4 linked regions of the Arabidopsis thaliana genome follow. The protein of the gene in region 1 interacts with the protein of each later gene in a pairwise test. Each region holds a gene or a part of one and is shown in the gene's direction. Other genes may lie near its edges.

Evidence for each region.
Region 2: the proteins of PKP-ALPHA (region 1) and AT5G14390 interact in a two-hybrid assay, tested with the Arabidopsis thaliana proteins (one large-scale study listed by BioGRID).
Region 3: the proteins of PKP-ALPHA (region 1) and AT1G34320 interact in a two-hybrid assay, tested with the Arabidopsis thaliana proteins (one large-scale study listed by BioGRID).
Region 4: the proteins of PKP-ALPHA (region 1) and AT3G56130 interact in a two-hybrid assay, tested with the Arabidopsis thaliana proteins (one large-scale study listed by BioGRID).

The regions. Positions count from the first base shown.
Region 1 is NC_003074.8:8,137,472-8,142,589, forward strand, and holds PKP-ALPHA (Pyruvate kinase family protein), read left to right. Parts: upstream 1-1,713; 5' UTR 1,714-1,897; coding exon 1,898-2,500; intron 2,501-2,599; coding exon 2,600-2,690; intron 2,691-2,795; coding exon 2,796-2,989; intron 2,990-3,181; coding exon 3,182-3,303; intron 3,304-3,443; coding exon 3,444-3,922; intron 3,923-3,998; coding exon 3,999-4,300; 3' UTR 4,301-4,581; downstream 4,582-5,118. Other genes in the region: ARFC1 (ADP-ribosylation factor C1), read right to left, coding at 1-42; AT3G22961 (Paired amphipathic helix (PAH2) superfamily protein), read left to right, coding at 4,667-5,118.
Region 2 is NC_003076.8:4,636,776-4,641,778, reverse strand, and holds AT5G14390 (alpha/beta-Hydrolases superfamily protein), read left to right. Parts: upstream 1-1,943; 5' UTR 1,944-2,203; coding exon 2,204-2,505; intron 2,506-3,137; coding exon 3,138-3,174; intron 3,175-3,274; coding exon 3,275-3,511; intron 3,512-3,603; coding exon 3,604-3,651; intron 3,652-3,742; coding exon 3,743-4,228; 3' UTR 4,229-4,492; downstream 4,493-5,003.
Region 3 is NC_003070.9:12,518,054-12,524,908, forward strand, and holds AT1G34320 (Ikzf5 (DUF668)), read left to right. Parts: upstream 1-2,005; 5' UTR 2,006-2,326; exon of another isoform or gene 2,327-2,440; 5' UTR 2,441-2,659; coding exon 2,660-2,974; intron 2,975-3,054; coding exon 3,055-3,380; intron 3,381-3,467; coding exon 3,468-3,560; intron 3,561-3,655; coding exon 3,656-3,746; intron 3,747-3,832; coding exon 3,833-3,926; intron 3,927-4,056; coding exon 4,057-4,160; intron 4,161-4,261; coding exon 4,262-4,331; intron 4,332-4,463; coding exon 4,464-4,567; intron 4,568-4,782; coding exon 4,783-4,899; intron 4,900-5,027; coding exon 5,028-5,104; intron 5,105-5,313; coding exon 5,314-5,358; intron 5,359-5,455; coding exon 5,456-5,993; 3' UTR 5,994-6,324; downstream 6,325-6,855. UniProt on the Arabidopsis thaliana protein: Promotes seedling growth probably via the regulation of phytosulfokine (PSK) signaling; PSK are peptide phytohormones acting as growth factors. Together with PSI2 and PSI3, required during vegetative growth and reproduction.
Region 4 is NC_003074.8:20,825,022-20,829,770, forward strand, and holds AT3G56130 (biotin/lipoyl attachment domain-containing protein), read left to right. Parts: upstream 1-1,554; 5' UTR 1,555-1,830; coding exon 1,831-1,864; intron 1,865-2,124; coding exon 2,125-2,298; intron 2,299-2,601; coding exon 2,602-2,672; exon of another isoform or gene 2,673-2,828; coding exon of another isoform or gene 2,829-2,879; coding exon 2,880-2,933; coding exon of another isoform or gene 2,934-2,937; intron 2,938-3,116; coding exon 3,117-3,383; intron 3,384-3,482; coding exon 3,483-3,545; intron 3,546-3,629; coding exon 3,630-3,698; coding exon of another isoform or gene 3,699-3,710; exon of another isoform or gene 3,711-3,777; coding exon 3,778-3,823; coding exon of another isoform or gene 3,824-3,885; exon of another isoform or gene 3,886-3,918; coding exon 3,919-3,986; 3' UTR 3,987-4,249; downstream 4,250-4,749. Other genes in the region: AT3G56120 (S-adenosyl-L-methionine-dependent methyltransferases superfamily protein), read left to right, coding at 1-135, 248-346, 442-585, 867-973, 1,114-1,188, 1,280-1,336; AT3G56140 (DUF399 family protein, putative (DUF399 and DUF3411)), read left to right, coding at 4,386-4,749.

The DNA.
Region 1 (5,118 bases):
AGGAAACATCATGAACCAAAACCTCGACATGAATGCTCCCATCTCCTCCAATTTCTATCACAAACAAGATCCTAATCAAATAAAACACATCATTACTTTTACGATCAAATTGTTCTACAAACAGAGTGAAATCGAGAAACCCTAAAGATACATCCTTTAAATTGACCCATCAATTTTACAAACCCAAGTAATTGAATCAGAGAAGCCCAGATCAGATTTGGATACAACGATCCCAGATTCGATAAAGTTAACCAAATCTAAATTATATATATACAAATCGGGAAATTTGTGATCAAACCTTGAATCAGCTAGAATCTGAAGATTGCAGAGGTAAGAATCGGAGATCAAAAAAAGTTCTTCTTCTACTATTTTGTAAGCTTTTGAGGTTCCTTCCTTAAAGCAGATGGGTGGAGAGAAGAAGAAGAAGAAAAGTATGCGGGAAACAATGTCAAAACTGTAAATATGATGATCTAAATTATTAATAACTTTTAATATAACAAATATTAAAATGAAAACTATATAGTAATGTTTTCTTTTACTTACCCAAACGGCTGCAGCCTCTACCGTAATGGCACCGAACACGTCACCGCCATTAGCCACGACGCCAAAGACGAACATTGTTGAAGACTTGAAATCCACAAAGATGTTTTTAAACGAGAAAAAAAAAAACTCAAACGGGCTTAGGGCCTTTCCATATATTTTAGATTATAACAATTACATTTTCTCGGCCCACAGAAGTATATAAAATTAAATAGAAGTAAATTATATTGAGGATTTAAAATAACAAATTTAATTATAATTTGAAATCATGGTTATAATACGATCGTGTGAAATGTTAATTAAATGCTTATATTGATTATTTTATTATTAAATTTGTGCTAATTTTGGTAACGAATCTTATTTTTGTTATTGTATACGATGATTTAAAATATATATATATATATATATATATATATATATATATATATATATATAATAGTTCTAGAAAAGTCTAATTGGATTTTTTAGATCCTATCATAGTTGATAGTTCTCTTTTTGTATATGGCTAGCAATGCGGAATCGACTCTCTACATTAGATTCAATGAAGGCTTGGAATGTGAACTTGAATCGAACATGTGTGTTATGTAACACTCTTATCGAGACACGAGAGCACTTGTTTTTCAGCTGTAAGTACTCGTCGGCAGTCTGGTCCTCCCTAGCGAAACCACTACTCTAGTGACGATTCTCTACAATATGGCAAGCTCTAGTCATTATTATTACTTCTGATCACTGTAACAGAATCCATATATTCTTCCTCTAATACAGTTTTCAAATAATGGTTCATTCGATTTGGCGAGAACGCAATAAAAAAAACACACAATAAAACTCTGATTCTTATCACACATCTTCCTAAGTGAATAGATAAGCTGGAAAAAAAAAAAACTCTCAATCATTTGAAAGGAGAAATATAGTAGATACGAACCAAATCTCCAAACATGGTTTGCATCTAAAAGTCCTTAAAACCTCTCTTGTATAATCTAATTTCAAAACAATTTTGGAAAAGTTACATTTGATGTATCCTAACTTTATTTTTTCTTGGTCGAATTTAATATTTTATTAAAAATAATAATAGTAATAATCACAAAATCTAATTTGATCATTCTTAGGTGGGTAGGTACACTTATTTTACATACAGCCTCGACGGCACCAAAACATAGAATATATATATAAATACAAATACAAATATTCCAAATATAACCTCTCTCCCAAAGTCCTATCATATCAGAAAAAAAAAAAAAAATCCAAATTCAACACTCTCACACTTCGATATCTCCGCCTTCATTCTCCTCAGAGCCAACTGTCCTGAGATTTCGATTTCGATTTCTCCGATCTCTCTTCCTCCGTCGCCGGCGAAACCATGTCTCAGTCTATTCAATTCTCCACTCCTTCACACACTCCTCACCTTCTCCATCTCCCTCACTCACAATTCAACCGTCCTCTCTCCTCTATCTCCTTCCGTCGCTTCCCTCTAACAACCATCAAATACACTTCCATCAGAGCCTCCTCGTCATCATCTCCTTCACCGGATCTCGATTCATCGTCCTCATCATCATCCTCGCAAGTACTTCTCTCACCTAACGGTACTGGTGCTGTGAAGTCTGATGAGAGATCCGTTGTCGCTACGGCGGTTACGACTGATACGTCTGGGATTGAGGTTGATACTGTGACGGAAGCTGAGCTTAAGGAGAATGGATTTAGAAGTACGAGGAGGACGAAGCTGATCTGTACGATCGGACCGGCGACTTGTGGATTTGAGCAGCTTGAGGCGCTTGCTGTGGGAGGTATGAATGTGGCAAGGCTTAATATGTGTCACGGTACGCGTGATTGGCACCGCGGTGTGATTCGTAGTGTTCGGAGGCTTAATGAGGAGAAAGGCTTTGCGGTTGCTATTATGATGGATACTGAAGGTAGTGAGATTCATATGGGAGATCTTGGTGGTGAAGCTTCAGCTAAAGCAGAGGTTGTTTAATCTCTTCTTATTTTGATTTGAATTCGATGTAGACATTGCTGTGTTTGTGATTTAGATGTTTAAGCTTTGGTGGTGATGACATTTTTACAGGATGGTGAGGTTTGGACTTTCACTGTTAGAGCTTTTGATTCTTCTCGTCCTGAACGTACCATTAGTGTTAGCTACGATGGTTTCGCTGAAGGTATATGCAATTATGTTTATGTAAAAGTGGAAGTGAAAACATTAGATGAATATTATGGTGACTGCGTATGAAATAGGAATCATTTGGTCTTTGTGTGTGGTGTAGATGTAAGAGTTGGGGATGAACTTTTGGTTGATGGTGGGATGGTGAGATTTGAAGTGATTGAGAAGATTGGTCCTGATGTTAAGTGTCTATGTACCGATCCTGGATTGTTGCTTCCTCGAGCTAACTTGACGTTTTGGAGAGATGGAAGTCTTGTACGAGAGCGTAATGCCATGCTTCCAACAATTTCTTCCAAGGTTTGTAATTTTGTATCTTCCCTTTAAGCTTTGAATTATGATTCACTTTACTTGGTAAATTTGGGAGGGATCAAAGCAATGGTGAAGATGTACACTTTTGGAAACTAGATGAGTCCATGTTAGCAAAACAGATGATACCTGAGGGAAAACATACTCATTTTCACTGATGATACCTCAATTCTTTATATTCAGGACTGGTTGGATATTGATTTTGGAATTGCTGAAGGTGTGGATTTCATTGCTGTATCGTTTGTCAAGTCGGCTGAAGTCATTAATCACCTTAAAAGTTATCTTGCTGCTCGTTCCCGTGGAGGGTAAGTAAACATGCTCAATATCAACACATCATACTACTGTACAGGAAACATATGATCTACTTTGGGATTGGGTTTTGCGTCATGTATTCACCATCTTTAGTTATAGTTTTATTTTGATGTTGTATTCAACTATGATGCAGGGAAATTGGAGTGATTGCAAAGATCGAGAGTATCGATTCACTGACCAATTTGGAAGAAATTATTCTAGCATCAGATGGGGCCATGGTTGCAAGAGGAGATCTGGGAGCTCAGATACCTCTTGAGCAAGTTCCAGCAGCTCAACAGAGAATCGTCCAAGTATGCAGAGCTCTTAACAAACCCGTCATTGTCGCTTCACAGCTATTGGAGTCCATGATTGAGTACCCAACTCCAACCAGAGCAGAAGTTGCCGACGTGTCTGAAGCAGTAAGACAAAGATCAGATGCATTGATGCTCTCTGGAGAATCAGCTATGGGACAATTCCCAGACAAGGCGCTCACGGTTCTAAGGACTGTCAGTTTAAGAATCGAGAGATGGTGGAGGGAAGAGAAACGCCATGAGTCTGTACCGCTTCAAGCCATAGGCTCTTCATTTTCAGACAAAATCTCAGAAGAGATCTGTAACTCAGCTGCTAAAATGGGTAAATTTAGGTTCTTTGTTTTCCATAGAAGGCAATATGTCTTTAGTGTCTCATTTTACTATCCAAAAACTTGCAGCTAACAATCTTGGAGTGGACGCGGTTTTCGTTTACACAACGAGCGGACACATGGCATCACTGGTCTCCCGATGTCGCCCGGACTGCCCGATCTTTGCTTTCACAACCACAACCTCAGTGAGAAGACGCTTAAACCTACAATGGGGACTTATCCCATTCCGTCTCAGCTTCTCAGACGACATGGAAAGCAACTTGAACAAAACATTCTCGTTACTGAAATCAAGAGGTATGATCAAATCTGGTGACCTCGTGATCGCAGTCTCGGACATGCTGCAATCAATCCAGGTAATGAACGTCCCGTAATTCTCTCTCTTTATACAATTTCGCAATCCCGCAAAAGAGTGTTTTGTTTCCTACTTTTGTTACTGTTTTTAGACTACTCTTACATTAGATTCCAGAGGCATCATCATCTTCGGTTTGTTAACAACAGTAATGTGTAAGCTTTGTTTGTAGTGTGTACTGTTTGTTTTTGGTTTTCAATAATATCAGTAATCTTATTCAAATATTCGATTCTATCATTTAGTCCTTTTGTTTTATCTTTTTGTTAGGATATATATGTAAACCCAAATAGGATGAGTTCGAATATATACCATAACCCTATATTATAAATAGTGTATATATAATCACAATTAGAATCGCCTCTCCATTAGAGAAGATATTTGAACAAACATGAAAAGTTGCAAGAGACCTCGGATGAAGAATCAAGAGAGAGATTTTTATGAAACTCCGTCGGATTGTTCGGAAGAAGAGATTCAACGGAGTTGCGAGTTCGTGAAAAAAGTTAAAGAGTTGGATGATAAGACAATCATCGTTAAATTTTTAAATGCAATGAAGTCTTATCGATCTAAGTCTTTAAGTTACATCGATCTCAAAACCAAAGTCGCTTCTATTCTTCGTAACCACGACGCTCTGCTCCAAGAATTCCATCAGCTTCTTCTATTAGATTCACCTATCACAGAGAAGGATTGTAACTCGGCAAAATCAGACGTAGAACGCACGGTTGAGTTGATGAAGAAAGTGGAAGGTTTGGGAAAGGGTTTACACGGTGCGTTCCTAAATCAGCTGGTGTTTGGCGGTGATATTGTGGATTTGGTTGAACAACTCGACGTGATTCTCTGCGA
Region 2 (5,003 bases), on another chromosome or scaffold:
ATGATGTACTCAACAGACATAAATTATTTATATATATTAAGATTTTTTTTTGTCGAAGTAAGCAAGTAAGACCATCTCCATCGGTGGTTTCTCACTGAAAAACTCCAAATAAAAATAAATCAAAAATATGAAAATAATAATTTTTTAATCAGTTTTTCTCAGAATCGTTTTTGAAATGAGAAACTTGGAGAAACTTTCTCTCTCTTCCATATGTCACCTTGTTATTAATTTCTTTTCTTTGTTATAAATAAAATTATCTATACTTTATAACATCAATTAAATACTTTATATGTTTGTTATTTTTTTTATTTTTACTTTAAAAATTCATAAAATTAAATTATCTATATAACAAGCTCTATCATGTATATGTTTAAATTATATACGAATATTATTTAATTGGTGTTAGTTAAGCATTAAACATAATAATAACTTAAAAATACAATAGCTTTTTTTAATTAGAAAACAAACATTTAAAATTTTCTATTTTTATTTTGCAACATTCTCGGCAATCGAATTCGACTTCGTGATAGAGATATGCACCAACAACTAAAAGATGACCTAGTTGAGCATATATGACAAAAGTTTGGTGCATCATCAAATGAAGAGTAAAACCATAATAGATAATATAGTTAGCTTTGATTTATGTTATCATGGTTTTATATGTAATTTCTGTTTAATTTATATATTTTTTCTATTTAATTTATGTTATCATGGTTTTATATGTAATTTTATGTTTAATTTATATATTTTTTATTATGATTTTATATGTAAAGTAATGTTTAATTATGTTTAATTATGGTTTTAAAAATAATAAAACTATTTAATAATATAATTTGTAAAAATAAATAATTGATATGTTTGAAAATATTGTAGAGATATTAAATTTAATATAAAAACATATAATAATATGTTAATGTTAATGAGATACTCATACCAATGGAAGCACAATTTTAATATAAGTTTTTCTACTTAAATTAAACATAAACATATTAATAATATATTATGAGATACTCATGAAGTATCTCACCAATGGAGATGCTCTAAGATTCTTCTTCTAACAGGTTAAACAAAAAGTATGTGAGTTTCACTTGTGTTCTTTTAAGGTTCATTTTTCACAAGCTTGACTTGTTGCCACCACGACGTTAAGGTTTTCCTCGACGAAGCCCATGAGTACAACTTCTTAGGCCCATTATATAACAAGATTTGTGTTATTAATTAATTTATCATTTTCAGAATAATATCGTTTTCCAGAGGTTTGATTTTTTCTAATAGCTTTTTTTTTTCAACAACAGTTTGTAAAATAATTTTAAATAGTATATATCATGAGAAGAAGAAAAATAGAAATATAAGAAATTACAGCACAAGTTTAAAATTCTTTTTACGAATAATAATAATTATTAAATTGATAAAATAACATTAAAAATGATAAGCTGTCACACAAGGCATGAATGAGTGAAGACCCACCACTCCAAAATTTGCTTTCCGCTTCTAATTTTTCATGGACCCGCATTAAGCAAACCAACATACATACATACCCCTTCCTTATTCTTTTATTTTTCTTAACAATAAAAAGCTTACTAATATTATTATTCATTCTTTTGTCATCTTATATTTATATTTTTATCGTTAGTTGTTGATATTTATTTCTTGTCCAATTAAATCATAACATTTAAGTGCCTTTCATGTTCTCTCACTCTTATATTTCGCCATTCCTAGCTATAAAAATACACATGTTTATGTTTAATCATAAGCTTTGATTTATCACTCCACCAACGCTAAATTATTACTCTAAACCCCTTTTTATCTGCAAAAGTAACATTATAAAAAAAATGTAACTCCATTGACATATAAACTCTAACTCGTCTGCGAATCTCTATAGTTTTAATATCTTAATCTCTTTTAATTTCAGATTGCATAAAAAAACATTTTTCAGGGAAAGTAATCTTCAATTTTCTGTAGTTAAAATATGGCAATTTTAAAATAATAATAAGCCAAAGCTCGAAACTTTAATAAACAGTTTTTGTTCATTCTCTTGCTTTACCATTTCAAAGTGCCACTTTTTCTTCCTAAATCCTCTCTCTCTCTCTCCGTTCCCGAGACAAGCAAAAGCTTCAATCTCAAATCTTTCAGCAGCTACAAAAATGTTCTTCATCTAAAAGAGACTGTGAAGCAGAGAGAGAGAGAGAGAGAGAGAGAGAGAGAGATGGGAGGTGTGACGTCATCAGTTGCGGCGAAGTTCGCTTTCTTCCCGCCGAGTCCGTCGTCTTACAAGCTGGTTTACGATGAACTGACCGGACTTCTTCTGATGAACCCATTTCCTCACCGTGAAAACGTTGAAATCCTTAAGCTTCCGACACGTAGAGGAACAGAGATCGTGGCTATGTACGTCAGACATCCGATGGCTACCTCTACTCTGCTTTATTCCCATGGAAACGCCGCCGATCTGGGCCAGATGTATGAGCTCTTCATCGAATTGAGCATCCATCTTAAGGTTAATCTCATGGGGTATGTTAAAGTTTTAGTCCTTTTCTCTCTAAGATAGCTCTGATGATGATGATTAGCTCTTCTGCTCTGAAATTGTGTTCTGTTTTGTATCTGGATTTGATCAAAGTCATAGACTTTTTTTAATGGCTATTTAGAAATTTTTTATCTGGTCCCTTGTGGGTTTTGGTATTAATGGTGTTTTGCTAAGTGAAAACGAATGAATTTGGAGTTTTTCTTTCTTTTTCTGGAGATTTGTTTATTCTTCTTGGTTTCTTTTGATACACTGTTTGATTGTTCTTTTGTGTTATTATGATTTTTCTCTGTATCGAGTTTTTGCTGATCAAGCTTTTGGTTGAAACATTTATATACATTTACTTGTTTTTGAGTCTATTGTTCATTGTCTTTTCCCAAATTTTGATTTGTTGTCTTCTTGTGTGTTTCTCTCTGGATAGTGGATACAACTTGGTTGCGTTAAGATGCTTAAACTCTTTCTATGTCTCAGATTGTGTGGAAACTTTAATTAGCTCACAATAATCTTTATGAACCAATGCATCTCTCAACTTCAGATCCTTGAGAACATTAAAAACCAAAACAACTTCATAGCTTCTTGATTCAGCTCTATAAATGTTGCTTCTCTGCTTTTGTATTTGTAGGTACGATTACTCCGGGTATGGACAATCTACTGGAAAGGTTTGTCATTTTGAGAATCGACAAGTAGAGATATCGATAATGATTTTACCCGATTCGAGTGAAAAACTAAATAACCGAACTTGTTTTCGTGTGACTGCAGCCAAGTGAGCACCATACATATGCTGATATCGAAGCTGCTTATAAATGTCTTGAGGAAACCTATGGAGCAAAACAGGAAGACATAATCCTTTATGGCCAATCCGTTGGAAGTGGACCTACATTAGATCTTGCTGCTCGGTTGCCTCAATTAAGAGCTGCTGTTCTCCATAGCCCGATTCTTTCTGGTCTAAGAGTAATGTATCCAGTGAAGAAGACATACTGGTTCGACATCTTCAAGGTATTAAATACATCATTCTTAGATGGATCATTTTCGATTTTCTTGCTTTCCTCTATCTTTTTCACAGTGTCCACTTTTAACAATATTTGCAGAATATCGACAAAATACCTCTTGTGAATTGCCCGGTTCTCGTCATTCACGTGAGTTCCATATTCATTTTACTCTCTTTTCCTTTTTTTCAGTTCGAAAACTGAGTGTATATAACTCTTTGTGGTTCTTCTCTTGTGGCAGGGAACTTGTGATGAAGTTGTTGACTGTTCTCATGGAAAACAACTATGGGAACTCTCTAAAGAGAAATATGAACCGCTTTGGCTCGAAGGCGGTAACCACTGTGATCTAGAACACTATCCTGAATACATTAAACACCTTAAGAAGTTCATCACAACCGTAGAGAGAGATCTCTCCTCGAGGGCGAGCACGGCCCAATTAGAGAAACAGAGCAGCGATTTGGAAATGCCGAGGCAGAGCGTAGATAGAAGAGAGAAGCCGAGGCAAAGCGTTGATAAAAGGGAGAAAGAGAAACCTCCAAAGGGTCCTTCAAAGAAGAGTAAGCTGAGAATCACGTTCGAGCAGCACTTAGATCGGACTAGGAGAAGCGTTGACTTCCACGAAAAGGCAAGGAAGAGCGTTGACCATCATCAGCATCATCAGAATCATCATCAGATTGAGAGAGGAAGGAAGAGTGTTGATAGATTGGATAGAGTACGGTCTGAGTAAACCGGAGAAAATCTACCACACGTACATAAGTTGTTACAGAACAAGAACATTTGATCTTGATCTTGATTGGCCATTCTAATGTTTATGGTTTTTTGTTTTGATTTGTGAGTTATTCTCTAGTTTTATTTGGGTGTGTCATTTCTTGAATGGTGAAGCTTAAATCTTAAGCAAACAAATGAGAGAAATTAGGTCTTTACAATAACCTGCTACGTAATTTATTTGACCCAACTTTTACTCGTAATATCATGCTTGGTTTATGACTCGAGTCTTGAAGAGTAGAAAAGGAAGAAAATTCGAACATTGCAAATAAAATAAAGAGGAATTAAAAACTGCACTGCACATCAAACGATGATGACAAAAAAATGATGCATATAACACAAACAAAAAGATAGAATTAAAGAGAAGTTGTCTGTTTTCTAGCTCTGTCAGAACATTAACAAATGTCTTCGAAACCGTAAGCCCCAGAAAACTTCACCATGCAGAAGTTTGTATGTTTTGGACCTTTGGTAATGACTTGTGTGTCAGTTGTGTCTTCATATTGGGGTTTTAATTTGGGCTTAGTTCGAAAGTACAGTAAACTCTTTAAGATTGCCCAAAATGTATTTTGAGACTCTAATTCTAATTTTCTGCAATACAATCAATGAATCAAACAAAAGTCAAAATCTCAGTCTCAGCTACTAATATTAGTATTCAAAAAAAAAAAAATTGTGTACGAATCCATAAATAGAAGAATTGGTTTCTAGTCCTGTTTAATTTTAAAGTACTTTCTAAAAGT
Region 3 (6,855 bases), on another chromosome or scaffold:
GGACACAACTACCTTTTATCTTTTTGAATTTAATGTTAAATTATATTCAAAATAAAAATAAACGTTTTTCTTTGAATTTAACTCTATTTGTTTTATTTTGGAAAGTTGATGAGTGATTGTCGGTAACTATACTAAAAAATGGTTTTGCATTTTTCTATAGGTGTGGTATGCCTTGGTACGTGGAGGAAACAAGTTAGACACATAAGCACATATGTACTAGACGCAAATAATGTCACAAAAACGGTTTAAAATATCTAGTTTTCAGTTTGTATGTCGTACTTATAACCGAACGTGTGTGAAGTTCTCATGTCATGTACCAGTTCTGTTAAACTAATGAAATATGTTCAGAGGTTTATGACCACTATAACTATTAGACCTGATTTCAATTAATCAAGAAAAATCCAAACTTTTTAATATATGCATTATGCTTTACAAAATTGTTTGATCTTCTACTGATGTAAAGACATTTACAAAATATAGTTATTTAATTGATTCTAACTAATTTGTTCGCGCATAGCGCGGGCCGTAAACTAGTATTTGATAATTCAGGTGCCTTTGTTTTGTTTTCTTGTATTAGGAGTGTGGGGGCTAATGAATTAGTTACAAAAAATATAAATTGAATTGTGGAATCATTTGACCAAAAAATTGAGCAAAAAAAGAAAGAAAAAGAAATGTAGAATCAAAATATTCATGATGAATTGCGATGGAGACAGAAGAATAACTCAAAAGATTTGACCAATGTGAACTTGTTGAAACGTGGAATTGGTCCAAAAGAGAGGCAACCTTATCATTAAATTAGGCTAATTCGCAGTTAAATAAGTAGCCTAAAATACTAAGAATTAATTTCACTTAGTTTATCATTGAAATTGGTTTAGGATCATGTTTATGAAAATACGATTGAAATCTCTTTCTGTTTTTTTTTACAACTACAAACTACTAATTAATATTGAAATCTCAAGACTTGAAAAAAAAAAGATAAAAACTCGCTTGTAATTTGTTTTTCTTTTGAATAATTATAACATTCCAAATAAATGATCATACCTTTGAAGTTCCAAATCATTTTATAGCTTTTATCTTTTATGTAATAAATAAGCTATGGGCCATCACATTCCATTTATTTACATAAATACTAAATGATAATAACAATTATTTTCCTATATGATATCAACATTTTTTTTTTATTCAAGCTTCCTACCTTTGACCATGCTATAAAGCTATTATGACATTGCCACACATAGGTTATTTGGTAAAACAATGTAATTTGAAACCTACTTTAGATTCTGTTGTCCTTTACTTGGTAAAAAGTCAACTTTCATTTTCAAAACTAGATATGCATATACATGTTGACTGATTTTCTTCACCTTTTTCTATTTCAAGGACTTACAATAATTACCAAATACTTCCTTCATTCACACAATCAAAGGTACAAAATGGTTAAATATTTCAAAATTTACTACTTGATACAACTTAGTTTACTACTTGGAATATACAACAAAAGATATTATATTGTAATTCTTTTATATAACCATAACTCTTTTTTGCCTCAATAATATTGAATTAGAATGATTTCAAACAAAAGAAAAATAGATTGAAATCACAAAGAGAAAACAATATTTATTCCGAATCTTATAACTCGACGAAAATCGATTTTATCGACATTAATTATTCCATCACAATACTAATTTAAATTCCAAAAAACACCTATCAAAAGTGAATTTTCGCATAACAAACTCGAAACATTACACCGATATGTATTTGATGATAATTTGATAACAACATATGGTATTCTTCGAAATTGACGTGTCTTTATTTCTGATTTCTGTTGAAGTGATCCCAATTCAAAGAATTTCAATGAAATCCATTTAAAAGACTATATAAACATAAATTTAACTATGTAAATAAAATTTGGTAACATACAAAATAATTCTAATTATGTAGTAATATTTGATAATATAAAATATACTGCAACTTGTTAGTAAAAAAATAATAAAAATGTGTAAATGGGATTGAGAGTTTTGAAGAGTGTAGAAATGGGTAAAACGAGAAAAAGCCTTTGGGGGTTGAATTTTTGGCTAACTTCACCATCTGACACTCTCCAACTCCTCCTCTCTCTTCAGACTAACCCAAATTCAATTCATCTCTCCTCTCTCTCTCTTTCTCGAGTCGCGTTTCTTCTTCTCTTTTCCTTGTAGACATCTCCACGATTCTTCAGCTGAGAGCTTCTCACTTCTCTCTAGAGCTTTGCTCAAGAACTAGCGACGAAGAAGAAGAAGAAGAATCTGAACTTCAATCTAATTCCCAGATCCAAGTTTCTGACTCTTCTTAGGTCTTTCTTCTCCATTCCTTCAAGCTACTGAATTGAATTTGTCGTTTTGGGTTCTTCTTTAGCTAGGGTTTTCGATTTCCTCTTGACTTTAAAATCTTCTTGATTCATTGGCAGGTTTCGTATGAGAGAATCAAGTTTTTTTCCACTGAGCAATTTGCTCCATTAATGGACTGTTGCTTTCATACAAATCAGGATTTGCGATTACAGTGTTTCGCTGGTTACATTGTTCATCCATTTCAAGTTTCCTAGAGAGTTCAATCCGAGATCAGAGTTTTTTTTTGCGTATGGAGAGTTTCGAGAGAGTTTGAGAGCTAAATTTGGAAACTTGCTGTGATGGGTGGGCTTTGTTCAAGGAGTTCATCTGTAAATAATGCTCCTGGTGGAACCTTTGCACATGTTAATGGTCATCATCTCAATAACAATGCCTCTGACTTGAATTCTCATTCTGGTGAAAGTGGACTTAAAGATGATCCTTCTCCTGTTACCGAGAATGTTGATGATAATAAGCATACATCGGAATCGTTTTCGTTTCCTATAGTCTCTAGTGGATCTCATCCTCAAAATATCGAGGATGGGATTCCTCGGTTATCGAGGGTTTTATCTCAGAAATCTAGATCCACTAAGTCTAGACAAGCTGCTGTTGCTAAGGTATATAAAGAAATGTTAAGCTGTTGTGTGTTGTTAGTTCTGAGTTCAAATTTATTATACTAAGGTGTTTTTGTTTATAGGTTTCGGAAGTAAGCTCTCTTTTGGGTAGGGCTGGTACTATGGGACTTGGTAAAGCTGTGGATGTGTTGGATACACTCGGGAGTAGTATGACGAATCTGAATCTTAGTGGGGGGTTTTCTTCTGCGACGACGGTGAAAGGGAATAAGATATCAATCTTGTCTTTTGAAGTTGCTAATACTATTGTTAAAGGCGCCAATCTTATGCATTCTCTTTCGAAAGATAGCATTACTCATTTGAAAGAGGTTGTGTTACCTTCAGAAGGTGTTCAGAACCTGATATCGAAAGACATGGATGAACTGTTGAGAATTGCTGCTGCTGATAAAAGGTAACAATTGTTTGTGATTGTGTTCTGTGTTGATGCTGTTTTCTAATTTGTAGTTTGGAGATAAGTGACGGTTGAAATTGTATACAGGGAAGAGTTGAGGATTTTTTCTGGAGAGGTGGTGCGTTTTGGGAATCGTTGCAAGGATCCTCAATACCACAACCTGGATCGTTTCTTTGACAGGTTCCAACATGATCCTGTCACTTTGGTGGTCACACAACGGGTGTATTCCTTTTGGAAAGTATCTGACTTTTCATTAGTTCTGTGTTATGATTTAGGTTGGGCTCTGAATTTACACCCCAGAAACACTTGAAACAGGAAGCAGAGACCATTATGCACCAGATGATGTCATTTGTTCATTTTACAGCTGTACGTATTTTCATGCAAAATTGTGATATTTGGTCCTGTTTGACTTCCTCAATAGCGATCTACTCTGAGTATATGTTATGTTTCAGGACTTGTATCATGAACTCCATGCGCTGGATAGGTTTGAACAAGATTACCAACGTAAGATCCAGGAAGAAGAGAACCCAAGCACAGCACAACGAGGTAAGTACCAAAAAGAAAATATCTATTCTTAATATCTTTGGGAATGGATGCTATTGTTTTACACTCTAGTTTCTTCTATTTGTTGGATGTCGTTCTAATTTATCTTCCATTTTTTCTCCTTTTACATAAGGTGTGGGAGATACCCTCGCTATCTTGAGAACTGAATTAAAGAGTCAGAAGAAGCATGTTAGAAACTTAAAGAAAAAGTCTCTTTGGTCTAGGATCTTGGAAGAGGTAAGGGCTGCAATAAACGTATAATATTTCCTTTTATTTGGAGTTGCTTGGCTCATCTGCATTCACAATTGCTAATTCTTGAAAATACTAATAATACTTAGGTGATGGAGAAACTAGTAGATGTTGTCCATTTCTTGCATTTAGAGATTCACGAAGCCTTTGGTGGTGCGGGTGAGACTCGATTATTGGATAAAGCGTTTTCGTCTTATTTTAGCGTTCAGGAAGATAGAGGATTTAGTTATTTTCTTGTACCTAAAATGAAAGATGTACTTACAAATCATGGCCATTTCACCTGATATGCAGATCCTGATAAGCCTGCAAATGACCCGCCAATCAATCATAAAAAACTGGGCTCTGCTGGTCTTGCCTTGCATTACGCAAACATCATTACTCAAATTGATACTCTTGTAAGTATATTATTCTTTTTTATCACTTAGTTTTACTTTCAATGTTTGGCCTGTTGTCCAAACTCTAGGTTCCTGGGATTGTAAATCGTTTGTTTCTCGTATCCAATGGTCTCCCGATTTCATTAATAATCTACCTCCAAGCATCAGCAATAATAATATGATTGGACCCATACGGCTTGTGGAATATATTTTAAATTTATCATTTCTATGAGTAGGTGTCCCGGTCTAGCACTATGCCTGCAAGCACAAGAGATGCTTTGTACCAAGGTTTACCCCCAAGCATAAAATCTGCTTTACGCTCCAGAATACAGTCCTTCCAGGTTAAAGAAGAGGTATTAATACTGTTTCACACTTCCCATAATGCTTTTGTGCTGACAAGATGAATTTACCATGTCCAGTGTTACTTGAAATGTTATTTGTATCCCTGCTCACCTCACTATATCTGATTTGTTTTCACCAGCTCACTGTTCCTCAAATAAAAGCTGAAATGGAAAAAACATTGCAGTGGCTTGTTCCTGTTGCTACAAACACCACCAAGTAAGCTTCTGTGATGTTTTCTATCTCTTTATCTTTGGTTTTGTGTCATCATTAGAACTCTGTTCTCACTTAAATCATGTATTTTTTTTTGGCGGATCAATGGAACATGTGATGTCTTAATTCTGTTAACAAAAGCATGTAAAATTCCCTTAGTTTTAACTATTAAAGTAAGTCAGACTTATTCTTCTGTCTTTTCTTTTCTCAACCAGAGCGCATCATGGTTTTGGATGGGTTGGAGAATGGGCAAGTTCCGGGTAAGCCCTGACTACAAGCTGATTCTCTCTTTGTGCTGTGTATATATGCAGACAACTGCATTCTTTACTAAATGTTAGATTATGCAAAATAACTCAGGTCGGAGGCGAACCAGAGACCTGCAGGTCAAACCATACTAAGGATAGATACTCTTCACCATGCAGATAAAGAAAAAACCGAGGCTTACATATTAGACCTGGTGGTGTGGCTCCATCATCTCGTTACCCAAGTCAGGGCCACTACAGGTTATGGCCTAAGATCTCCTGTTAAGTCTCCAATCAGATCACCTAACCAGAAAACGATCCAACTCTCCAGCGGTTCACACAACCCGAGTATGGGTTTGCCATTGCTGACTACGGAGGATCAAGAGATGCTTAGAGATGTAAGCAAGCGGAGAAAGACGCCAGGAATAAGCAAGAGCCAAGAGTTTGAAACGGTGGCTAAAGCACGTCTTTGTAAGCACCATAGGCTAAGCAAAAGCAGTAGCCACTCACCAATGATGGGCGAGATGATGAAGAATAAGAAGGATACTTTCTCAACCAGAAGACCTTCTTCTGTTCCCATCATTGATTTTGACATTGATCGCATGAAAGCTCTCGATGTGATTGATCGCGTGGACACCATTCGAAGCTTGTAGTTAACTACTTCCACTCCATCAGAGTTCAGAATAGGGGTTGAATGGATGGGAAACACCACTCTCTTATCACCAAAAGTTGTTGATATGATGAAGAATCTGAATGTGATTCATCGCACGGTGCCATCGAAACCCTTTATAGGTGATGAAAAAATGGCAGAGGTTAGTAACTTTGTACTCTTTTTGGTTTTTGTGGGTGTAATTTGGTTTGGTTTTTTAGCATTTCCTTTGTATTTGTTGTTCTTTTTCTTCTTATAGTTGTATTGTGTACATACAAGAAACTTTATTACATATGTTTGGAGAATAAAAATAGATTATCTTTCCAAATGGATTAAACTCGAATTTAGACTAATAATCACCAGAGAAGCAACTGATAATTGAGAATCATAGTCTTATTAGCAGTAATTAACATTTGTAAAACGCCATAAATGTACTTCACATTACAACGCAAACAAACATCATCATTAGCTAATTGGCTTAGCCAGAGATCTCAATGGACTTAACTTGAGCCTTCATATTTTTGTAATCGTTAGATATAGAAACTATATTCATCCAGCACATGATAATGTGTGTATTTGATATAGAAGAAAATATCAATTGAAGGTGGCATGCAAATTTGATTTATGTTTGATCATTCCAACTGCACAGTCTTATAAACTAAACTTTATAAACGTGACGTTGTACAACATCTCGATGCGTCTGTAGATGTCCTTTCCGCTCATTTGTACTTCGTTTTGGACAGAATGCTTCTCAGTCTGAGCATCCAAGTTACCTTGGATTTGCAGGCCGTCATCGACTCATCGGCTCTCGATGATGCTCAGTGGTCATCCAAGTTTTTTTTTTATCCAAAAGTTTGTTGCATACT
Region 4 (4,749 bases), about 13 Mb from region 1:
ATGATTTGATTTGTGTGCACAACATGGATGCTCGTAAATTTTTCTCTCACTTGATGGCGGTGTCAACTTGCGAGGATAATTTGCAATCAGTGGCTGATAATGATAAAACAAAGGAAGCAGCCGTGAGTCGAGGAGGTAGTTCTTTTGGTTTAAACTATTTTTTTGCATTATAGTTGGCATATTTGGTTTTACGAGAGACAAAAAATAACTTTACCGGTGGGTTTCTGTTTACTTTGCTTAATCATAGGTGAGACTAATTCCAGTGGAGAGGAAATACGTGAATCCAATGCAAGCATAAATGAGCCTCTTGGTGCAAATAAGAAGCCATCTGGTACTACAAAGACGGGTAAGAAATGCCTCATAAAGATTTCTCCAAGACATTGTTTTAGTTAATATTGCCTAATGCCTGGGGATCCTCACCAGTATGTTAATTGAGTGCAGAAAATGGGGTAGGAAAAGACTGCAAGAGTATAGAAGGACACGCAAATAAGAGATTGAGACAAACGTTGCTTCCAATCGCAAAGCCGTGGGAACATATCGACCATGTTATTATGAACCTTCCAGCATCTGCCTTGCAGTTTCTTGGTATGCTATCAATGATTCTTTATTATTTTTGTTCAAAATTTGGGACTAGAGTCTTGCATATACTTGCAAGGCATTAGAGTTTCATCAACTATCAACTACATTCCGCATCAGCAAGTTAATTAGGACCAGGACCAATAGAAATAGGAGATGCATCATGTATTAAGGCTTGTTTGAAGAGTTATGTGATTGGCTCTTCAATTTCAGTTAGAAGTAAGAAAGGAAGTCAGGATTTGTTTTTGTCACACTACTAATGCATATAAGCTCTGTAATTGTTTTTGCAGATTCGTTCAGTAATGTTATTCAAAAGAAGTATTGGAAAGGACCTCTTCCATTAATTCATTGCTATTGTTTCATCCGTGCAAGCGAAACCACAGAGTTTATAATTGCAGTAAGTATCAACCGCTCCCCTCCTGCTTGTCCCTTCTAGTTTTGTTGTCTTCACTATATCATATCTTTGTACCAAAGATCTGGTAGCGTTTTTCTGCGAGCCTTTAAATCTGATATACAGCTTCTGTTGATATTTTTAAGGAAGCTGAAACTGCTTTGAAGTTCCATATAGAAGATCCAGTCTTCCACAAGGTTAGAGATGTTGCTCCAAACAAGGTAAGATCCCACTCGTCTGTTTTTCTTTTTGATATATTATCAAAACATAGCATCTGTAGTTCCTGAGCTAGATTTCTTTTGTACTTTGCAGGCTATGTTTTGCCTAAGCTTTAGACTACCTGAAGCATGCTTGAAGCAAGAAGAGTAAAAGACATTTCTAGGAAAGAAAGAAGAATCAAAAAACGCATTTGAAATCTTTTCTTTTTGCTTTTGGTATTGTTTGTTTGATTCCATGGCACATAGAGTCAGCTACTGCATAAGTTGATAGAAAATGGGGACACTTAAATTTGCTTAATAGTATTTAACAGAAGCTGAAGACTTTTGATAAAATTAATTGATGAAAGCATATAAGAGAGATAAGAATATGCCTTTGTTAATAATACTACATTTTCAGAACTAAATTACGCCTTTTTGTTAGTATACCGGCGCATGTTAGCAAAGGAAAGTGACGGACCGTAGTGTAGTAGTAGATGCGGCGGACGGAGTTACCAAAGAAGAAGGCCGCTCAAAATAATTAAATTTGTTCAACCGTCATCTTCTTCAACTGATCTTAGCTCAACTAACACACTCTTTCTTCTTGGCGTCAATTCAATCAACCAAAACCTTTTTCTCCTATCTAGCTCACGCTTTCTTCTTCTTCCAATGGCGTCTTCTGCAGCTCTCGGATCTCTCCATCGTGAGTCTCTTGCTCTCTCACTCTCTGCGTTTTACTTATTCTGTTGATTTCATGAGGATAGGAAAACTAGAAATGGAGGACCATGAGTAAAATTTCGGAAATGAAAGGCATAGATTGGAGCTATCCGTTAGTGACGTTGTTGCTTCTTAGAGTGTAATTTAGCGACTTAATTAAGTTTCAATCTCGGATCTTGTGTGTCTAATTTGTATCAAGAGATGTTTCAGCTAGAAAAAGTGAATTTTATTTGTTCCATTTTACAGAGACTTTAGGGTCAGCCATTAATTCACAGAGTGAGGTTCACTCGCTTTCTGGAAACTGGTCTGCCTCTGGTAATTCATGTGTGCCACGGTGGAGATTATCCAACAGGAACAGCAACTACAGGCTCGTGTTACGTGCTAAGGCCGCTAAATCTTCGACAACAACCATAAGTGATGGTGAGTTTATCTTCCACAATTCTTCTTCATGTTCATTTTGCTGGTTAATGCCTTTTTTTACTATCAGGCTTGTCTCATCACTTTGCTAATACGATCCATTGGCCAAAGATGGTATTAATCTGTTTTGCTCTTAAAGGAACTGGAACTGAAATTCTTAGTCTCGTTTGCTCTTAAAGGAACTAGAAATGTAACTGTAAGCCTCGGTCTTTTACCAGCTGTCTTGGAACCAGGAGATACAGTGATGTGATATTGGAACATTTTTCTTTTATTTCCTATGACTTTTGCTTATTTTTGGCTTTGCAGGTTCATCTGATGCTAGTGTGTCAGACGGGAAGAAAACAGTTCGACGGATAACTTTCCCGAAAGAAGTGGAGGTTTCTTCCTTGCCTTTCATGGGTCTTAGATATTAGGTTCTTTAATTTATAAGTTTGGTAGGTGATGATATGACGATTTCCTCAAATATGCACTTTCTAGATCGTCAGGATTTTGGATGCATAACTTCAGGCAATCTACTCTTATAATTTTTAATCATGACGTATGGATGTACCTTTCTTTATATGTTGTTAGATGAAATGTTGCAGGCACTGGTTCACGAGATGTGTGATGAAACTGAGGTTGCTGTGCTGCAACTTAAGGCAAGTCTCTCTGCCATTAGTTTTAACTTCATTATTATTATTATTTGTAAACTTTCTTTGAGGCTACTACAAAGACGAGTGCATTTTACTCAACCAACAATATGGGGCTAAATATCACTGATTTGAGATAATAGAATGTAGGTTCCAACAATTAGACTCTTCTGAAGCTTTCTTTTGCTACAGGTTGGAGATTTCGAGATGAACCTAAAACGGAAGATTGGAGCAGCCACAAACCCCATTCCCGTGGCGGATATATCTCCAACTGTAGCGCCTCCTATTCCTTCTGAACCTATGAATAAATCTGCTTCTTCGGCTCCTAGCCCATCTCAAGCAAAGCCTTCCTCTGAGAAAGTGTCTCCATTTAAGAATACATCATATGGGAAACCAGCAAAGTTGGCTGCTTTGGAGGCATCTGGATCCACCAACTATGTGTTAGTCACATCTCCCGCAGTATGAGATCCATTTCCTAATTAGTGGTTGCTTTCATATCCCTTAATTTCTCTGCAGTTTTCTTGTTTGATTTGATCTTGTTTCTTCTCTTACCAAAAGGTGGGCAAGTTTCAGAGGAGCAGAACTGTAAAAGGAAAGAAACAATCTCCTAGCTGCAAAGAGGTAAACGACTCTAAATTCTTTTGCATCTCTTAGAACAAAAGAACAGAAATAAGATCAAAGAGCTAAGTGAAAAAAACTCCTTAGGGTGATGCAATAAAGGAAGGCCAAGTTATTGGATACTTACATCAGTTGGGAACAGAACTTCCAGTGACGGTAATATCTTAACTAATATATCCATCTCTTCTTTGAAACTATCTAATCAGACTCATCGATCTTGCTATTTGTCGAGCAGTCAGATGTAGCTGGAGAAGTCCTTAAGCTTCTTTCAGATGACGGAGGTAAACATTTGAGTATTCAAACCGTTTCATTTAGTATGAACATTCAGAAATTATATAAGTGAATTGATATGAACTCATGCTTCGTGTGCAAACAGACTCCGTAGGTTATGGAGATCCTCTGGTTGCAGTCTTGCCATCTTTCCACGACATCAACATCCAGTGATGATGGTTTCTTCAGCCCAATTCCATAGCAAATGAATAGTCTTTCATCCGGAGACTGTACTATTCATCTTCTCCTGTGTTTGTTCAATGAAGATTTGTAATCTGTTTAGTTGCAAAGAGTCTACTTTGATCTTGCTCTCATCATTTGTCACGTAATGTGGATTTTCTGCACCAGAGAAAAAAAACAATTGTGGAATTTTTATAGAAATGACGTGGCTATCTTATCTTCTCCGATCATCAAATAAAATCAAGGCTCAAAAATTCAGAAGAAAATTGACGAATGTTTTTAACAGTGAAGGAAAATATTAAAATTCTTCTCTTATTCGTATCGGTCTTAGCAATGTATGTAATACGCTGACGTGTACAAACGGAGCTCTCTTCTCAGCTCTGGCCTCTGAGAATGAAACTCACCACGAATGATCTCTTCGCTTCTCAACCATTATTTCACTGCCCTTGCTCCTCCTCCTCCCGTCCTCGCCGCCGACGTTTCTATGGCCTTCATTTTCCGATCAACCTCACCAGCGAGAAGAACAATTCTCTATCCATTGTTGCTCTTTCTGATTCCGATCTTCCATCACGAACCGCCTTCTCTCGCCGCGCTTTTCTACTCGCGCCACCACTTCTAGTCTCGGCTGCTTCCTTGTTTCTCAAACCGTCTGTCTCTTTAGCCTCCGAGGAGAGCTCGTCCGCTACAGTAACATCGCCTGCGGAATCAGCAGCTCCTCCTCCTCCTCCTGCGACCACAACACCGTCGCCGCCTCCAC